2 linked regions of the Diceros bicornis minor genome follow. The protein of the gene in region 2 purifies or fractionates together with the protein of the main gene of each other region. This does not show direct contact. Links are inferred from orthologs where the notes say so. Each region holds a gene or a part of one and is shown on either strand. Other genes may lie near its edges.

Region 1 (8,694 bases), on a different chromosome or scaffold from region 2:
TGAGGCATGAAGAGGTTAGTGTTCTGCCTGAGGTCACAAGGGGCAGAGTGATGCTTTGAACCTAGGAAGCCTGGTTTGAAGCATCTGTGCTCAACCACCATACCCAACTCAAGGCTTCAAATTCCTCCTCCTTAGTGTGAGACTTCCCACTGGGCTGTTTCCAGCCCACCCTTCTTTTCCCTCTAGCCCAGGAGTTCTCGAGCCTGGCTGTCAACCCAGGCCCATTACCTGAGAACATGAGAAGAGAGTGCAGGCACAGGTAGTTTTGAAAGCACCCTCGTGATGTAAGTGGCAGCCAAAGCTCCAGATGCAGATCCTTGCAAAGCTCATCTGCTCCCAGCACCCCCCAACAGCCTAGGAACAGCTGCACCTGGATCACCTGCCAGGGTGGGGGCCTCAACACAATTTAAAGTGAAACTCCTCATTCTGGGCACAACAGCAGGCCACACACTCACCACCATCTTCCTCCCTGTGGGGATGTGAGTGCCTACTGTGTGCCACACATCATGGCATGTGGGCAACTGCAGCCTTTCTTCTCCATTTTCCTTGGCTCGGCTGCCCCCTCAAGGAGTATTTTAGAAAGATAGCTCTGGCTGGGGGCGGGTGGATGGGAGGGCCAGTGAGGCCAGTGACAGGTAGGAACCACCTGCAGCAGCCCCCGTGTGAGGGGAGATGGCGGTGGCAAAGGCACTGAATCTGAGTGGCATTTAGGAGTCATGAATGACTGGGCTGGCTGATCTGGGATGAGCTGGGAAGGAGGCCTGGCTAGGCCACTCAGCAAAATTGGATGAGGAGGAGGAAGGAAGAGGAAGGGTTGGAGCCAACAAGACCCTGAGCTGGTTTAGAGAAGCCCTAGGTCACTCACCACTCACACACACAGAGTGCCAGCCCCCTGCGGCCACCTCAGCCATGGCCAGGCCCTGCAGCGCCTCCAACAGCCTGGGCTCCAGCTCTGCCTCCAGAGTCCCGTGGCCCAGCTGTCCATGCCTGAGCAAGGGAGACGCTAGTCAACTAGACACATCAAAGGGTCTCCCTCCCCTTCCCTCCCCATTCACATTCACCTGCCCCCATATGCTCATCTCCCACTCCTGCTACATTTAACCGCCCCCACCCCCCCCACCCCCCGCAAAAAGCCTAGCTGGCCTACACCTGGCCACACCCCCACTCACCTGCCGCCGCCCCAGGAGAACACTTGGCCCGTAGCGTCCAGCAGCAACGCGTGCTCGGCGCCCAGCTCCAGCCGGCGCGCCCGCAGCTCCGGGGCCAGAGGTCGGTAGAAGGGCGGCCGCGGGCTCACGTAGGCGCGGGCGCAGGGCAGCAGGGGCAGCGGCCCAGCCTGGGTCTTGCCGTCCGGTCCGTATTCCCTCTCGGCCTCCGACACCACAGTCTTGACCCAGAGGGGCTCCCCGCGCAGCGCAGACCCGGGCTCCCAGGCCTGCAGCTCCGCCCCGGGCTCGGGGCCCGGCCCCGCGCGCAACACCACGAGCAGCGCCTCCGAAGCCCACGCGTCTCTGCAGCCGCCCGCCGCTCCGCCCGCCGCGCCCGACAGCTCCACCTGGCCTCCACCTGCGGGGGCGGAGAGCGCGCTGGAGAGGGCGTGGGCCGCGAAACCAGCGCCGGGGGCCGGAAGGGGGAGCGGGGGGGGTGCTCACGGCTCACGAAGGCGGTGTAGCTCCAGCTGGCGCTCACGCGGCAGACGTCGAGGCCCGCGCCCGGCGCCCGCAGCGGCTCGGGACTGTGAACCTGGCGCCCGCGCCCCGAGCCCAGCGCCTGCCCGAAGCCGCGGAAACCGAAGCCGAACCAGGAGCCTGGGCGCTCCTCGGCCATGCCCTGAAAGCGCCCTCTGCTGGCCGCCCGCCGGTTGGGGTGGCGGCGGGACGGAGGGTAGGGCTAGAACCGGAGGAGATTCTTGGAGATGAGCCCCTTACGGGACACAGCAGCTGCCTTACCTGTAAAATGGGGAAAATACCATTCTCCTCACCACAGAGGTAGACGATATCCATTACACAAACGTTCGGTGGGCGGGAGCCTTGGCTAACGTCCTAGCAGACTCAGGAAGATTCTGAGCTGTCCAGAGCCGGTACCTTCCTTGTCCTTTTGACTCAAGCAAGCTCAGCGTCCCACAAAGGGAGCATGAGGTATTTAAGTGGCCTCTCCCTGGGGCGTTGGACTAGGATCCGAGCCCCTCCAGATCCAAATTCCCAGTGTCAGGCGCATTATCCCAAGCAGTCTTGGGAACTAGAATCGCCCCCATTTGACAGAAGAGACTCCCAGAGAAGGTAACCCTTACACAGTCACACAGCTTAGGACCAAGAGGGGCAGAGGGCCAAACTCAAGGCCCAGCGACTCCACATACAGTGCTCTTCCCACCAGTGGAAAGCAGAGCGTTGGGAGACAGTACCCCGCACGGGCCACGACCAGCTCCAGGGTTGACGTTTGCCTCTGCAGCTTTGTGTCCTCAGCCAATTCACTTAAGCTCTCTAGGTCCAATTCAGTTTCTTCAGTTTTACTAAGGGGGGGGGGTGTGTAGGGGAGGGTGGTGTTTGTACCTACCTTGTAGAATTGTTTGGAACAGATGCAAACAAAGCGTTCAAGTGCACGCACATACCATGATAAGTGCACTGTAAGTGTTAGCTTATTAAATCCAGTACTTAGAGTTGATAAAAACGACCACTAGTACTTACTGGTTTTCAGGGATCTAGATAAACATAATTTCAACTGGACCTCATCTAGTCATTTAATCGTTCTACAAGCATTTATTGATCCCTTACTCTGGACCCATGAGAACAGCTGTCTGCCCCCAAGGAGCTCACTCATAAATGGGGAGAAAGACGCAAAGTCTAGTGGTTACAACAGCAACGCTGCTTTCTCCGTACAGCATGTTTGGCTTGATCAGAATTCCACAGGCATTTTCAAGCCTCTGAAGTCAGATCCTGGGTCTCTTCCTCGACCAAAGCTCCTTGACCCGGGCCTGGGCTCCTAACCCCTCCCGTGTTCAATTCCAACCCAAGGAGGCCTCTGACCTTGATCTTCACCCTGTGCACCCCTTCAGGCAGCTCCTTCCGATGGGCAATCTGGAGGAAGGAAAGGCCGGGGCGCAGAGCAGCCGCCCGGGAATGGGTCTCCCGCCCAGGACCTGGCTGACAGCCGCCGGGGAGGACAGGTTTGAAGAGCCGCGCCCTGGGCGAGGCGCCCATTGGCTGCCGCAGCCTCCCCGGGGCCAATCGCCGGCGAGGGGGTGACGTAACCGCTCGGGGCGGGCGGCCGCGGGGCATTGCTCACCTCGCGGCTGCAGTCTCCGCTGCGGCCCGTCCAGTCCTACGGGCGTGGAGCCGGTCATCAGGCCTACACTGGGCCGCCGCGGGCTCGGGTGTGAAACTTCCGGTGGGCGCGGGCCCGGGCAGAGGTCGGACCAGGTGGTCCCTCTCCCCACAGGCACTCGCGGGACAGCGAAGCGCGAGTTAGAAGCACCTGGGGAACATTCAGAGCTGAGCTAAAGGGCACCTCCCCGTCACTCCCCTGGGCTTGGGACCGCGGCAGCTCGCTACTGGACATGCGCAGGACTGCCGCCCAACAGGAAGCAGCCATCCTGAGCGGGCGCTCGGCGGGTTTTACCTTCCATTGGCTCGGGACCTGCCACTTATCTCTGTCGATCCAATGAACTTCAAGCTGGGCGGAGCCCGCTATCGGGACGTCCAGCGCGGGCACTTGGGGTCGCCCGCCCCCGCTCCCACCCGGCTTAGCTGCGGGAAGTTCTCGCAGGTTTTTCCATGAGGGAACGGCATGCCCGGGCGACACACCAACCCCAACTCCGAGCACCGCCTGAGTGGAGGTCACTGAGAACTCCCAATACAAAGACAAAGTATTGAAGGGCCAGGATCTAGGAGTCTGTACCCTAAACCCATTTTTCCAGGCGACTGTATAGTTTTTTATTGATCAGCTTCCTCGGTTTACCCCTTGACCCTCCAACAGGGTTAGGACGCAACTCAGCGGGCTCTGGGTGGAATCCATCAGATTCCTTCCGTGGAGGTGGCTCTGCTGCTGCCATAAAGCTCCGCTGTGCTCCACCACAGCCCGCTCCTGCTCCAGACCAGGGCTCACGGCCTGCCCTCCCTGCCCACAGACAGGGCACACATTTGAGTTCCACACACTTTTATTAGAGAGTCAGAGGCAGGCCTGCTAGGAGGCTCAGGTGATGCTCAAGGTGGTGAGGCTGCTCGATGTGCCCTTCCCAGTGCAGGAATCCACAGGCTGAGTCCAGATGCACCTTCCCCATCCCCAGCTGTCTACAGTAGTACAGAAAGGGCCCTGCTGCGTGAGGCTGCAGGCAGTGCTGGCAGAGCAGGGCTGTGACTGAATGTGGCCCCTGACTCAGAACAGAAGACATCAAAGGGCAGCTAGAGAGGAGGCCAGAGTGTTCCGCATCCCAGCCCCCACCAGCAAAAAGCCGTGTCTGTCCTGGCTCCCTGTGCTGTGACAGGTAGCGTGTGCATTAGCAGCCCCTCAGTCTCCATCCTGGTTGAGTTTGATAAGCCCATATTCCACCGCTTTCTCTAGGCAGGCTGCAGCAGCCCTGGTGATGGGGCTCTCCTTGCCCTTAGCCAGCACGGACAGGATCTCCAGCACCTCGCTCTCTATCAGGGTGCTAGCGATCTCTCTCGAGGCCTCCACCATGTTCAACACCACCACAGCGCCCCGGTGCTGCAGCTCCTGGTTGGGGCTCAGAAGCAGGGCCTGCAGGATCTCCAGCCAATGTGTGGTCTGCAGGAAACAGGGCTGTGTGACCACTGAGCAACAGGCTAAACCTTGGCAGGGAACACACTCGCACACCCTGGGACTTCCCCCACCAACTGCCACCATGCTGGGGGGTCCTGGCCCACCTCGCCTCCCCTGCCAAGAAGAGGCACTGACCACTTGGGGGATGCGGCTGCAGAGCGAGGGCCGCATGGAAGTGAGCATGGCCAGGCCCCCCGCAGCCGCCTGCCGGAGCAGCTCATCATCCTCTCCACTGTACAGCACCAGCAGCTTCAGCCGGTCATTGCCCTTGGCTTCAAAGAGGTCCTGCACCTGTGGCCAGATGAGGGGCGTGGACTGAGTCAGCTGAGGCAAAGCCCAGCCAGGGCACAGATATTTCTGCAAGGCTGCCCACCATGACCGCCTGGACCAGCCCTCACCTCCTTGCTCATGGCCAAGTTACACATGCACTCCGTGGCTGCCCGGCGGATCATCTCATGCTCCTCAAACATGTAGCCCTCAATCATGGGCACAGCCTTCTCCTTCAGGATCTTCTGCCTGCAGGGCCGAGGGTGGAAGGCTCAGCATCGTCAGAGCCTCTGCATCCACTGCCCCCACCCCCATATCCCCATACAACCGAGCCCTGGGCTGAGGATTTCTCTGGGCAATGTCCAAAGGCCCTCCTGCACCAGGTATGAACTGCAGGGGTTTCCAGCCTTCTACCCAGGCCTAGGAGATGGCATGGGGCGTGGAATGCTTTCAACCAGGAGTTAGGAGACCAGGGTGGTGGTGATGGTGATGCTAACACCGAACATTTAAGCACTTCCCCTGACCCAGCACTTGGACTACCTTACTCAATCCTCACCACAGCCTTGTGGTGACAGTGCAGGTGTGATCAGCATGACTATTTTGCAAAAGAAGAAACCAAGGCTAAGTAGTGAGTAATGTGCCCAGGGTCACCACTAGTAGTAATAGCTAATATGCATCGACTGGGCACATCGCTAGGAGCCAGGTACCTATGCACTAAGTGCTTTTACATGTATTTTCTCATTTAATTCTCCTCACTACAACTCCATGAGGTAACTACTATAACCATCCCATTTCAGAGGGGGAAACTGAGGCACAGAGTGGTTATGTAACTTGTTTGAGGTTACACCCTGGTACCCAGTGAAGCCAGGATTTGAACCCAGATGGTCTGACTCCAGAGCTGGCACTGTTACTGCCCAGTGATGTGCTCTCTCAGGGAGCGCTGTCCAAATCAAACCGCCTGGCCTGTGTCCTCAGCTGGATGACACAGAGGACTCACTGTGAGGCTCAAATAAAGCCATGACCGAAGAGTGCTTTCCAAACTGTCAAGTGCTTTACTGGGGATAATCTAAACCCTGATGCCCTCCCTACCTGGGCCCCATGTCCCAGGGGACCTTACCGGAGCCTCTCACTGATGCCCGCCAGGTTTGTTAGAGCCATGAGCGCCTCGAAGTTCTGCAGCCCTGAGCAGTTGAGGTGCAACAGGGAGACAAGGGGCCGGACCACCTCATAGATCTGTGACATGCACCCCACCTGTCAGGGCTACTCAGCCCAGTCCCCACCGAGCCCACAGGCGGGGGTCCACCCCCTGAGAGAAGGCTGCCCTCCCCACCCTAGGGCTCAGCAAAGCTGCCACTTCCTATTGAACCCACGGAGGAGCCACAGCCCAGGTCAGAGACCATCAGGGCCCAGTGAGGGGGTGGAGGCCAGGGCTGGGGCAGGAAGACACGTACCCGCTCGCCAGGAAAGGTCATCTCTGGGTTGGAGGTGATGGTGAGCTTGGCGAGAGCCTGGGCTGCCTTTGTCTGCCCCACGTCAGTGCCTTCCAGGGCCAGCGGGAGCAGAGCCTGTAGGGACAAGCCCGTCCGTGTCCAGGATGTGCCCGGGAGCGTAAGGCCCGAACCAGCAGGCCCTGAGCTCTGACTGTCCACCCGCACCTTTCTCCTCCTCTCTCCTCAGGCTTGACAACACTCCCCGCTCAGACCCTCTCCACCTCTCTGAGGTCTCTCATTAAGCTACCCAAACACTTCCTGAAACACCTAGGAAGGGCTAGCCATGGATTGTGCCGGTGCTGGGGCCATGGAGGTCAACGACACAGGGAAAGGGGGAGAGCTCAGGACCTTAACAGGCACAAAGTGCCGGGGGCTCCAATGAACCCGCCCCGTCAGCATCCCTCTCTCAGCAGGAAGATGTTCCTGCCGGTCACTAATAATGTTTCCCATCCCACATCTAAAACTAATCTCTGGTGTGGCAGCCACTGAGTCATGTCTTGTGGACCATCAGGAAGGAGTCTGTAAGCCAGCTTACCTTGCCCCCTCCCTGAGCAACCACAGTGCCGCGGTCCTCCACCTCTTCCACCAACGCCAGGAAGACCCTGCAGAGAGAGGGCGGTAGTGGGGTGGTGGGTGAGTGGGGCCGGGGCCCTGGCAGGTAGACACTCCACTTCTACGCTCGGTGAAGGAAGGCAGCCAAGCGTGTGGCACCGCTGCTCTAGGAGGCCCACAGCACCAGGACCTGCTCCCTCTGTGGCTACATCGGCAGCCTCAAGGCTCAAGAGCTGGGAAGGTCTGGCTCCGCTGAGGCAGGCTCACCTGGAGAGCAGCTCTCGGCAGGAATTCGTCAGCACAGGGCTTTCGGTCTTCACCATGCACGTCATGGCTGACACCACGCCTGCTGCCAGCAGCTTCTTCACCCGAGCCCGCACGAAACTTGGTTTGTCCTGGGGAGGCAGGCAGCTTAACAGAGGGGCCTCGGCTGACTAGACAGGGAAAGGGGGACCCTCTTCACAGCACAAATTGATGAACATGAGAACAAAGGGCAAGAAACCCGCTTAAACAGAAGATTCATCTGCTCTGGATGCACCAGGTCAACCGGTCCCAGTGATACAGAAACCCCCAAACCCCTCCTAGCGGCCCCCTCACCTTCGGGTGCTGCTCAGGCACATGCTGCTTGGCATACTTGGCCAGCTCCACCATCTTGGGGTCGGGCTCCTCGTAGTCATAGCTGTTGGTGCAGTTCACCAGTGCCGAAGCCACCGCAAAGAGCACTGACCTCTCCTCGGACTGCCAGGAGCAGAGGGGCAGTCAGTCAGCCATCCCAGGGGGCAGAGCAGCACTGGGATAAATGCTGCCCAGGCCCCCAGTTCTACCCTCACTGGACCACCTGGGCACCAGGATGAATCTGGAAACCTCCCCAGGCCCCCGCCTGCCCCCGGCCTTTGGGAGCTCACACACTTGACCTCCAACTCCACCAAAGAGACAGTCTTTTCTGACACTGCTGGTGCAGGCCAGTCTGCCCACGCCACCCAGAGCGGCCACTCGGGCCACAAAAGCCACTGGCCAAGACCTGCCAAGAAAGCCAGGTAAGCTCTAATCCTAGGAAGTGTCCCCGGATGACTGGTGCTACCCTGCTCAGCTGGACCAGAGCCTTCAGGGCAGCCTCGTCCTCCACAAACTCTTCCTTCACATCGGCATCGAAGGTGAGGTAGGCCAGGCCCTCCACTGCCCAGCGCCGAGTGCCTGCATCAATCTGGTCATTGCACAGCCACCTGGGGTCATGCAGGGTAGTGGACAAGCATCAGAACTAGCGGGGCAGGAAGGGGCACACCAGGACCAAGGAGTCAAAGCTAGGGGCTTGGGCATCCCCGCCACATACGGAAGCAGTTCACATGGCAGGATCCAGGAGGGTCTGCCTGGGGGAGAGCAGGGCAGTGAGGAGGCCCCACCCTCCACCCAGACCCTCCTCTCTTGAAGTCTAGCTGACAGGTGGTGGGGGAGCCATGGCAACGCCAAACGACTCACTTTCGACACTGCTTAGCCAGTTTGAGAGTGGAGCCTTCAGCAAACTGCTTCATGCTAAAGTCAGTCCCTCCGGCCGAGCCGAGCTTACAGAGTCCCTGGAGGAAGAGGCAAGAACGAGCTGCTGGCCTCCAGG
Region 2 (8,848 bases):
ACAAGGCCCAAAGAATCACTTGGAACTAAACTCCTGTGAAAAACGTTCTTCAACTCATTTGCCTACTTATCAGGGAAGTTTTCCTTTTTTTTCTAATTACTCAAAGCAAATCATGTCTATTTTAAAAGAATTTGCACAAACAGAACATAAAAAAACACATATTCTTCCCAAGAATAACACCTCTCTCCAGATCATTTTCTATCCAGATTTTTGTTTTTAAAAATCACTGATTTACAAATAAATTATTCATAGATTCGCAGGGCTTACTGTGGATAGAGTAGACAGGCAAGGTCTAGATGAAGAAGTGAAATTTAAGCTGAGCCGAAAGTGAGAAGCTAGAAAAGGTGAAGCTCTGAGAGAAAAGCATAGTAGGCCAAGGGAACAGCATGGGCGAAGGCATCAGACAAGACTTGCTTAAGGAATGGAAAGACATCTGGCTGGAGTAGAGAGCCCAAAGAGAAGAGAGGTGAGCAACAGGATGAAGATTTCCTGATTAGCATTTGAAACTGGTCACAAACCCACCTAAAATTAGCCCTCCTTTAGGTTGTTTTTAAAGACTCACAAAAACAGCAGGCTAATTCTACACAAAAACATTCACATAAAAGCAAAGAAGAAGACAGAAGGTATTCAAATTAAGTAATATTATTATAATAAAGATTAAGTTTCTGATTTCTTGTTGAGAATTCCGGCAAGCAAGAGATTATAGCACTTCACACCTCCTAAAACATTCTCACCATTCACATACCCTCCTAAATTTCCACAAAGGTGCTTAGAATTTACTTTACACTTTCTGGGGATGGACCATTTACATACTTTCAAATACTTATGCTGTAAATGCCCTGAGGCACTTTTGCTCTAATAGCAGACTCTTAGTTTCCATATTAAAGGCCACAAACAAAGCACTCACAGAAAATTAAACACAGAATTCACCTCTGCATATTGGCCTAAGAGAGAATGAATTTCTGGGTACTGGGTAAAACTTGATTTATGATCTTACTTGAAGACTGATAACAAGGTGGTTTTATGTTTGTGGTCTGGGAGTTGGCTCATCTAGCGTTTCATCAATGTTCTCTATTCTCAGGTCATGGCCCTTTGCCAAAAGGTTTCATTAGAGAGAATTTATAGATGTGTTTGAAAAAGTATAAATTACAAAGGAAGTCACTGGATAACCCATGTTTAAAAAGTTATTTATTTACGAAATTAATATATAACCCAGAGCCCAGCAGTTAGTCAGTTTTATTTTCTGATTCTGCAACCTGTGGCAGATGGTTTTCCTGGCACGTGTGACCTTGGCATTTTGCCCATGTTTATATGAACTCACAGGAGTTGAAGGCTGGAGGGAGCATTTCTTTTACCCCAGGTGATAGGTCATGCTGGGCCTGCTCCTCACCTGTGTGTATATGTGGTTAATTCCCCAGTCTTTTCCATGTACATCCACACACTGGCAAGGGCCTGTGTGGGCATGAAGATATGGCATGCCCTCTCAGAAGCAGTACATGACCTCTGTTCTATAAATCGTGCTATTAAACTAGTGGAAATTGTGATCCCATCCTTAGATTTTTTTCAACCCCTCCTTCCCTATATACTTCGAAATACTCTTGAAATAAAGTCAATTTTGTTTGGCAAATATAACAGCATTCCTTTAAGTCAAATGACTCACAAAATCAGAACTAAAAATCATCACTACAGTAAAGCTTGAAAAAGAACTATTTGACCTGGTACAAAGGTCTATGTGACAAAAAGTTTAAACGGTGGTACTATTTAGTGTTAGGAAATGAGCTGCGAAACAAATCTCACATTCCAAAAACTTTTCAAGTATTTTTGAAAGAGAACATGTCATTCCTTCAATAATTAGTCATTTAGTTCCCTTCAATCACCATGTATTTAGACACCAGGTGTACTACACGCTCAAGAAACAAAGATGAACAGGACACTTCACTTGCATTAGGTAAGTTCTACAGAAATAATGCCAACACAGCCTGAAAGCTAAAATCCTTGACTGTCTCAAGATGTCCAAGACCGACCACCTGCACCGCAGAGCTCCAAAAGGTTCACAGACTTGAGGGGAGGGCACAGAGATCACTGCTGAGGTGCTAGAGTTGAGAGCCGGCCAAATGCACCTGTAAACTGCAGTCTGAAATGGGTTGCCAGCAGTCACCTACAACCTCCTCAAACCCGCCCGCCCCTCGCCCCGTCCTCTTTATAAATAGAGTTTTTAAAGGGAACTGTCCAAGGTTACCACCTGATATGGAGGAATGCTTTGCTGTGGGATACATAAAATAAAGTTGTATACTCTCCATATTTACAGAGTATTGCTTTACAACACCTAAGTGTTGACAAAGTGTCAACCAAGGCATACAAAACATAAAATTAAACCTCTGTTTCAACAGCGTTAAAACATCAAAAAGAAACTGACCGAAAGAGGGAGATCTCTAACTTCCCAAAGCAGCAACCCCCTGGAAAGGTACTGGAAGCAGCGGAAGTTACATACATATTTAAATGCCACCACCACCCCCCCCTCGTCGTGGTAAAAGTTTGAACCACCATCTGACTATCCTACGGTGGTCGGAAGCTTCCCTAAACTACAAGAGGCGACCAGACATCCTAAAATCTCTGCCCTCAGCCAACCCCAGGTGCCCTCATGCCAGGCTGTGGCTTCCTCCCCGGGCCCTGCCTCCCCCATCTCACTCCCTTCTCCTGGACACTCACTCGTCCGCCTCGGCTTCCGACGCGGGCCGGGGGTCCCGGGGACCTCTCGGCCTCCGGACTCAGTCGGGGGGCCTCGGCCTCAGGCCCGCCCCTAGGAGGCCCGGCGCACCCCCCTCCCGGGCCAGGCCCGGCCGCGACCCGCGACCCCTGGCCCCCGGCCCGCCCTCGGGCCCGGCCCCCGCCCTCCCCGCCGGCCGGCCGGCCCTCACCTCCTCGGCGTGCTTGCGCAGCGCCTTCTCCCGCTCGTACTGGGTGATGAGCTGCTCGTTGTCGTCCCGCAGCAGCTCCAGCTCCACCTGGTGCTCCTGGTCCTGCGCGAACACCGAGTCCAGGTTCTCCAGCACGGCCACCACCAGTGGCATCAGCTCCTTGACCACCTCCTCGTCGTAGCGCCCGATGAGCCGCTCGAACTCGCGGTAGATGGAGCCGGCCAGGCCGGACACCCGCTCCGACATCACGGCCCCAGAGCCGCCGGGCTCCTCCTGGTACACCACACCGTCCTCCAGCTCCATGGTGGCGGGCAGGCGGGCGGGCGGCCCGGGGCGTCGCCGGCTGAGGGGGCGGCACGGGCCCGCACGGGACGGGCCCGGCTCGGGCTCGGGCTAGGGTTGGGGCTAGGGCCGGGGCTGGGCCCGGCGGGGTGGGAGCCCGGGCCGGAGGAGGGGAGGGGTGGGGTAAGCGCCCTCAGCCCAACCGCCGCTGCACCAACTGCCGGGGCGGCCGGGCCTCACGCGCACACGTCACCCGCGGGGCGGGACTCGCGCCGCGTCGGCCCGATGGGCGGGGCCCCGCGGGAGGTAAGGAGCGGCCGGGGCGGGGCCAATACGTCATCGTGCGCCGGCAGGGGCCGTGACGTCAACACTCGGCGCCGCGCGTACAGTGCGTTCGCCAATGGGAAAAACGGCGACAGGAGGGTGGCGACAACTGTCAGCACGAGGCGGGATTTGCAGGGCGGGTCCCAAAGGAAAGGGAAGGGTTCTGCAAGAGTGACTACACGTCCAGAATTAACGTAGCTAACTTCTGTTGCTTTTTACAGCTCACAAGGACTTTCTCATTTGTTCCGCGCAACAGGCGTGGTGCGGTAGACGTTTCGCCTGCGTTTCCCAGACATGGAGAGTAGGCTCGGAGAAGTTGTGGTTCACTCAAGGTCACACGGCTAGAACGGGAAGAAAGCTGATCGGGGACTCAGACCAGTTCTGACTGAGAATTCCGGGGTCAGAGGAAAGTGGGGAAACCTTAACTAAAACCAGGTCTACCTAAGTGATAAGGTGGTCTCAAATAGGATGGAACTATCTGGGGATAATGAGAGTAACGATAGCCTAAAACAGAGGAAGTGCAAAGCATTCTGGAGAAGGGTAAAACTGTAACTCCACGTCTCGCACCTTCCCAAACTCGGGGTTTTCTCTGCTTCTCCTGGCCAGCCTGGGAGAGTGGCATTTCCTGCCTCCAGCCACCCTCTTATCTTCTCGTCTTGAAGGGGGGCGGAGGAGGCAAGAAGGGGGTTGAGGAGTAGAGGAGGAAAGGGGTGGAGTCACTGGGGTGAATAAGTCCCATGATGCGTGAGGTATCCGCCGCCTGGAAAAGCATCACGTGTGGGGAATGACACAACACCCAAGCCTCAGGCGGGCTGAGTCAAGGATCGCTTCCCGGTGTTCTCATCTAGCCTCTGCAAACGGAGCGGAAGACACTCCCAAAAGCCCCTTCTTTCCGCGGCAGGTGACTCAAGAGTTCTGCGGCCCCGGTTCCTCTAAGAATAGGGGGAGGGAAGGCAGGACTTGGATAGACAAGGGTTTAGCGGGGGAATCGGCCACCTCCTGGGATCATAAATACCCTCAACGTGATGTTTACAAGTTCATCTTCTTCCTACCAAGCAGTAGCTAGTCCTCCGAAGTCTCCCAATCTGGACCCACCTGGAGACCCACAAGAACAGGATGGAGGTTGGGCGAGGGCCAATCTATAAACTCAGAAGGACAAAAATGAACGTGCTAAGCCTTATGATGTCAAATGGGAATGAATTTGCGGCCTGTACTGTCCCCTTTCTCACCATCACCCCACATCCACCTTTATATTGTTTGTGTGTGTGTCAGGGTTTCAGGAATGCGGATCAGCTAGTTGGGTGTGAGCCCCAAATGCCCTTTCTCTTCTAAACCTCACATTTGAAAACCAGAAAAAAGGGTCTTCCTCTGGATCTTTGTTTTCTCTTCTTTTTTCTCTTCCTGAGGGCTGTTTCTGAGGCAATCTACCTATATATATATGCCTCTATTTTGCTGGGATTCAGAGGAACAGGAAAACTTAGGACAAAGCTTTACTTTGTCTTTCCACAATATTATATACATAAGAAAATTTAGATAAAAAATGTCTTTATTTTCAGGTATGAGATTATAATAAAGTCTTCATAATAAGTATGCTTCTTTAAATTCAACATAGATATGAGATATATATTTATGTCTTGATTTTAAGCTTCTGCTATCAGAGATCACATTTAATTGTTTAAAATTCAGCCATATGCCCATCAACTGTTGAATAGATTTAAAAAATATGGTGTATGCATCTAACAGAATATTTATTATTCCGCAATACAAAGAATGAAGTACATGCCACAACATAGATGAATCCTGAATATATTATGCTAGGTAAAAGCAACCAGTCACAAAGAGCCATGTATGAAAGATCAGTGGTAGGGCCAGCCCCGTGGCTTAGCCGTTGAGTGCGCGCGCTCTGCTACTGGTGGCCTGGGTTCAGATCCCAGGCGTGCACCGGCGCACTGCTTGTCTGGCCACGCTGAGGCGGAGTCCCACATACAGCAACTAGAGGGATGTGCAACTATCAACAACTATCTACTGGGGCTTTGGGGAGACAAGGGGGAAAAAAAAAAAAAAGATCAGTGGTTGCCTAGGGCTGACTGGAGGAATGAGAGAAAAGAAGGGTGATTGCTAATGGGTATGGGGTTTCTTGGGGAGGTAATGAAAATGCTCTAAAATTGATTGTGGTGATAGATACACGACTCTGAATATACTAAAAACCATTGAATTGTACACTTTAAATTGGTGAATTGTATGATATGTGAATTGTATCTCAATAAAGCTGTTAAAAAATAAAATTTTTGGCTATAATGAGTTTATAGTAAACCCAAATGGAAGCACTTAACTCGGTGAGATAGAATGGAAACAAAACAGCGTTTAAAGTGAGAACCTGGGCCGGCCCCTTGGCTTAGCGGTTAAGTGCGCGCGCTCTGCTGCTGGTGGCCCAGGGTTCGATCCCTGGCACGCACTGAGGCACCGCTTCTCCGCCCATGCTGAGGCCACGTCCCACAAACAGCAACTAGAAGGATGTGCAGCTTGACATACAACTATCTACTGGGCTTTGGGGAAATAAATAAATAAATAAATAAAATTATAAAGTGAGAACCTTGTATTCTAGTATGGACTGGTCATTTTGAAAAAACTTAGGCCAGAAACAAAAAAGTAAATAGTTACTCAGTACTACTCGGTGCCAGGCACTGCGCTAAGGACTGTGAGCCTGAGCTTCTTCATCTGGATAGTGAAGAGGTGTGTTACCGAATCTATGAAGATTGCTTGCAATTCTAAAATCCTATGATTCTCGTTTGTAGGTGGGAGTGAAAGGAGACAGGGCCTTGAGACTGAGTTGCGTTAGTCGACTCCTAATTATGTAGGCGGTAATACTACTTCTTATGCTCAACTGCCTGGATAAATCCCCAGCACCCACCTCTAACCCCAAGGGCCAAGATTATTGTTAAAGACTAAGAGTCATTCAGGAAAACAGGTCATATTGTGGACTGCAGGGTAAATGTTTACTCTTGATTCCTAAAAGGAAGGAAATTCCGTTTCGAGAGATTCTTTGGCCTTGCAAAAATAGTGAGGACAGTAATGGGGCAGCAGAGGGGAGGAGTTGATGAGGGCAGGAAGGGAGGAGTTTTTTCCTAAGCACAATAACTATAATCACTGGAACACTGAAATTACTGGTCCTGTTATTTGTCTAGCCTTCTGGAACTTTTACAGTTATTTCTATGTGAATCAGTTTGTCTGGTTTCACAAACTACATTTTCCCACATGGGGAGAGACGGTTGCTGAGAGAGGAAGGGAAAAGAGGGCTCCCAGTGCACAAGGCCCTCCACTTATGGCGGTGTGAAATGATAAGTGATTCATCACCCCATCCAAACTAGAACGTGCTTGGTGAGGCAGTCTAGCTGTGGAATCCGGGACTCTTGAAAAGTGCCGGAGGATTTTTCTGAGCCCTCAGTTTTCCCTTTGAAAGCCTTTTTAAGGTGTCAGGATACAATGGATAAATATGTCCAGGTTCAAGTTGCAAGAAACCCTCTAGACAAGAGCTATTTCCTTGGAACCCCCTCTTCTCCCCCTCCCCTCAGAACTTTGGACTACCAGAAATTGCCTCTAAGATGAGGAGGCTGAACATATTGCTGAAGCAAGAATCCCAGTATCTGAGGCTATTTTTGATGGGCCCAAGGTATATTGGTCATATTCGTGTTCAGGTCTATTTTCTCCCTACCTCCATCTGACTTGAGTGGAGTGGAAGAAGAGGAGGCCCATCACCCAACTCTCAGTATATTTTTTACACATTGAGCCGAATCTCACTCTGGGAATAAAAGATATGTTTTCAAAACAGTGAGTTGGTTGGATTTTTTCCCCAATTATAGACGAAATGCATACTTACTGTAGAAAATTTGCTAAATACAGAAAAGCACAGAGAGGAAAATTAAAATCACTCAGGTAATGCCATCTCCCAGATATCACATGGTTAACATTTTTGTGTGTGTGTGTGAGGAAGATCAGCCCTGAGCTAACATCCATGCCAATCCTCCTCTTTTTGCTGAGGCAGATTGACCGCGAGCTAACATCCCTGCCGATCTTCCTCTACTTTATGTGGGACACCGCTACGGCGTGGCCTGACAACGGGTGCATCGGTCCACGCCTGGGATCCGAACCCAGGCCACCAGCAGTGGAGCACGCTCACTTAACCACTTTGCCATGGGGCTGGCCACACACATGGTTAACATTTAACAATCTATAAGGTGATCCAGGAAGTCTTCACTGTCTCTGTGGGAAAGGTGTCAAGTGCAAGAGGACTTGTTTTCTCTGAAGCAAGTAAGCATCCGATGAAACTCGTTAGCAAGAAACCTGAATTTTGTCTCCCTACTCCCTCACTTGAGTCTCCTAAGTAAATAGATAAGAAAAGTATAGATTAGATTGATTGTAATTAGTCTTTGGGTTGTCAACATGATGTAATCTACACAGAAATCAAAATATAATGATGTATACCTGAAATTTATATAATGTTATAAACCAATGTTACCACAATAAATTTAAAAAAAAGAAAAAAGAAAGGTATTTTAGGAAACATCAGACAAACCTGGACCCCATTTCCAAAAGAGTCTTTAAATAGATTTCATTGAGGATGACATTGCAAATCCATTGTAGTTTAGAAATTAATTTTGATACATTTATTAACAGTCATGCTGAGAAAGGAAAGAGGATGAGAAGAAACTGTCAAGCAAGCCCTGACAGCCTAGTGGTTAAAGTTCGGCACACTTTGCTTTTGCAGCACAAGTCAGTTCCCGGGCACGGAACCACACCACTCCCCTGTCAGTAGCCATGATGTGGCGGTGGCTCACACAGGAGAACTAGAAGGGCTTTAAAATATACAACTATATACTGGGGCTCTGGGAAGCAAAAAAAAGGTTGGGGGGAGATTTGCAACAGATATTAGCTCAGAGTGAATCTTTCCTAGCAAAAAAAAAACAGGAAACTGTCCAATTTTTCTAAATGCTAATTAGTTTGTGTATACGGTTTTGAAGGAAGGTCTCAAGGACCCAAAACATCACTCCTGAAATCTACCATCTTTAAGAAGTTGGTGCAGGGCCGACCCCGTGGCTTAGCGGTTAAGTGCCAGGGCTCCGCTACTGGCGGCCCAGGTTTGGATCCTGGGTGTGCACCGATGCACCGCCTTTCTGGCCATGCTGAGGCGGCGTCCCAAATATAGCAACTACAAGGATATGCAACTATGACATACAACTATCTACTGGGGCTTTGGGGAGAAAAAGGGGAAAAAAAAGGAGGAGGATTGGCAATAGATGTTAGCTCAGGGCCGGTCTTCCTCAGCA

What was found.
Region 1: the proteins of SPAG9 (region 2) and RCCD1 purify together in Homo sapiens (affinity purification with mass spectrometry; 3 studies listed by BioGRID and IntAct, counting the BioPlex papers as one, with this or other methods). This does not show direct contact. The link is inferred for Diceros bicornis minor from reciprocal best matches to the Homo sapiens genes SPAG9 and RCCD1.

Annotation. Positions count from the first base shown.
Region 1 is NC_080744.1:93,958,268-93,966,961, forward strand, and holds the start of RCCD1 (RCC1 domain-containing protein 1), read right to left. Parts: upstream 3,346-8,694; 5' UTR 3,341-3,345; coding exon of another isoform or gene 3,283-3,340; intron 3,260-3,282; exon of another isoform or gene 3,024-3,259; intron 3,016-3,023; exon of another isoform or gene 2,554-3,015; intron 2,432-2,553; exon of another isoform or gene 2,402-2,431; intron 1,950-2,401; 5' UTR 1,828-1,949; coding exon 1,653-1,827; intron 1,567-1,652; coding exon 1,170-1,566; intron 988-1,169; coding exon 866-987; intron 1-865. Other genes in the region: UNC45A (protein unc-45 homolog A), read right to left, coding at 4,504-4,761, 4,912-5,067, 5,175-5,292, 6,161-6,276, 6,495-6,608, 7,069-7,135, 7,353-7,480, 7,683-7,823 and 2 more. UniProt on the Homo sapiens protein: Plays a role in transcriptional repression of satellite repeats, possibly by regulating H3K36 methylation levels in centromeric regions together with KDM8.
Region 2 is NC_080757.1:35,321,924-35,330,771, reverse strand, and holds the start of SPAG9 (C-Jun-amino-terminal kinase-interacting protein 4), read right to left. Parts: upstream 3,329-8,848; 5' UTR 3,222-3,328; coding exon 2,919-3,221; intron 1-2,918. UniProt on the Homo sapiens protein: The JNK-interacting protein (JIP) group of scaffold proteins selectively mediates JNK signaling by aggregating specific components of the MAPK cascade to form a functional JNK signaling module.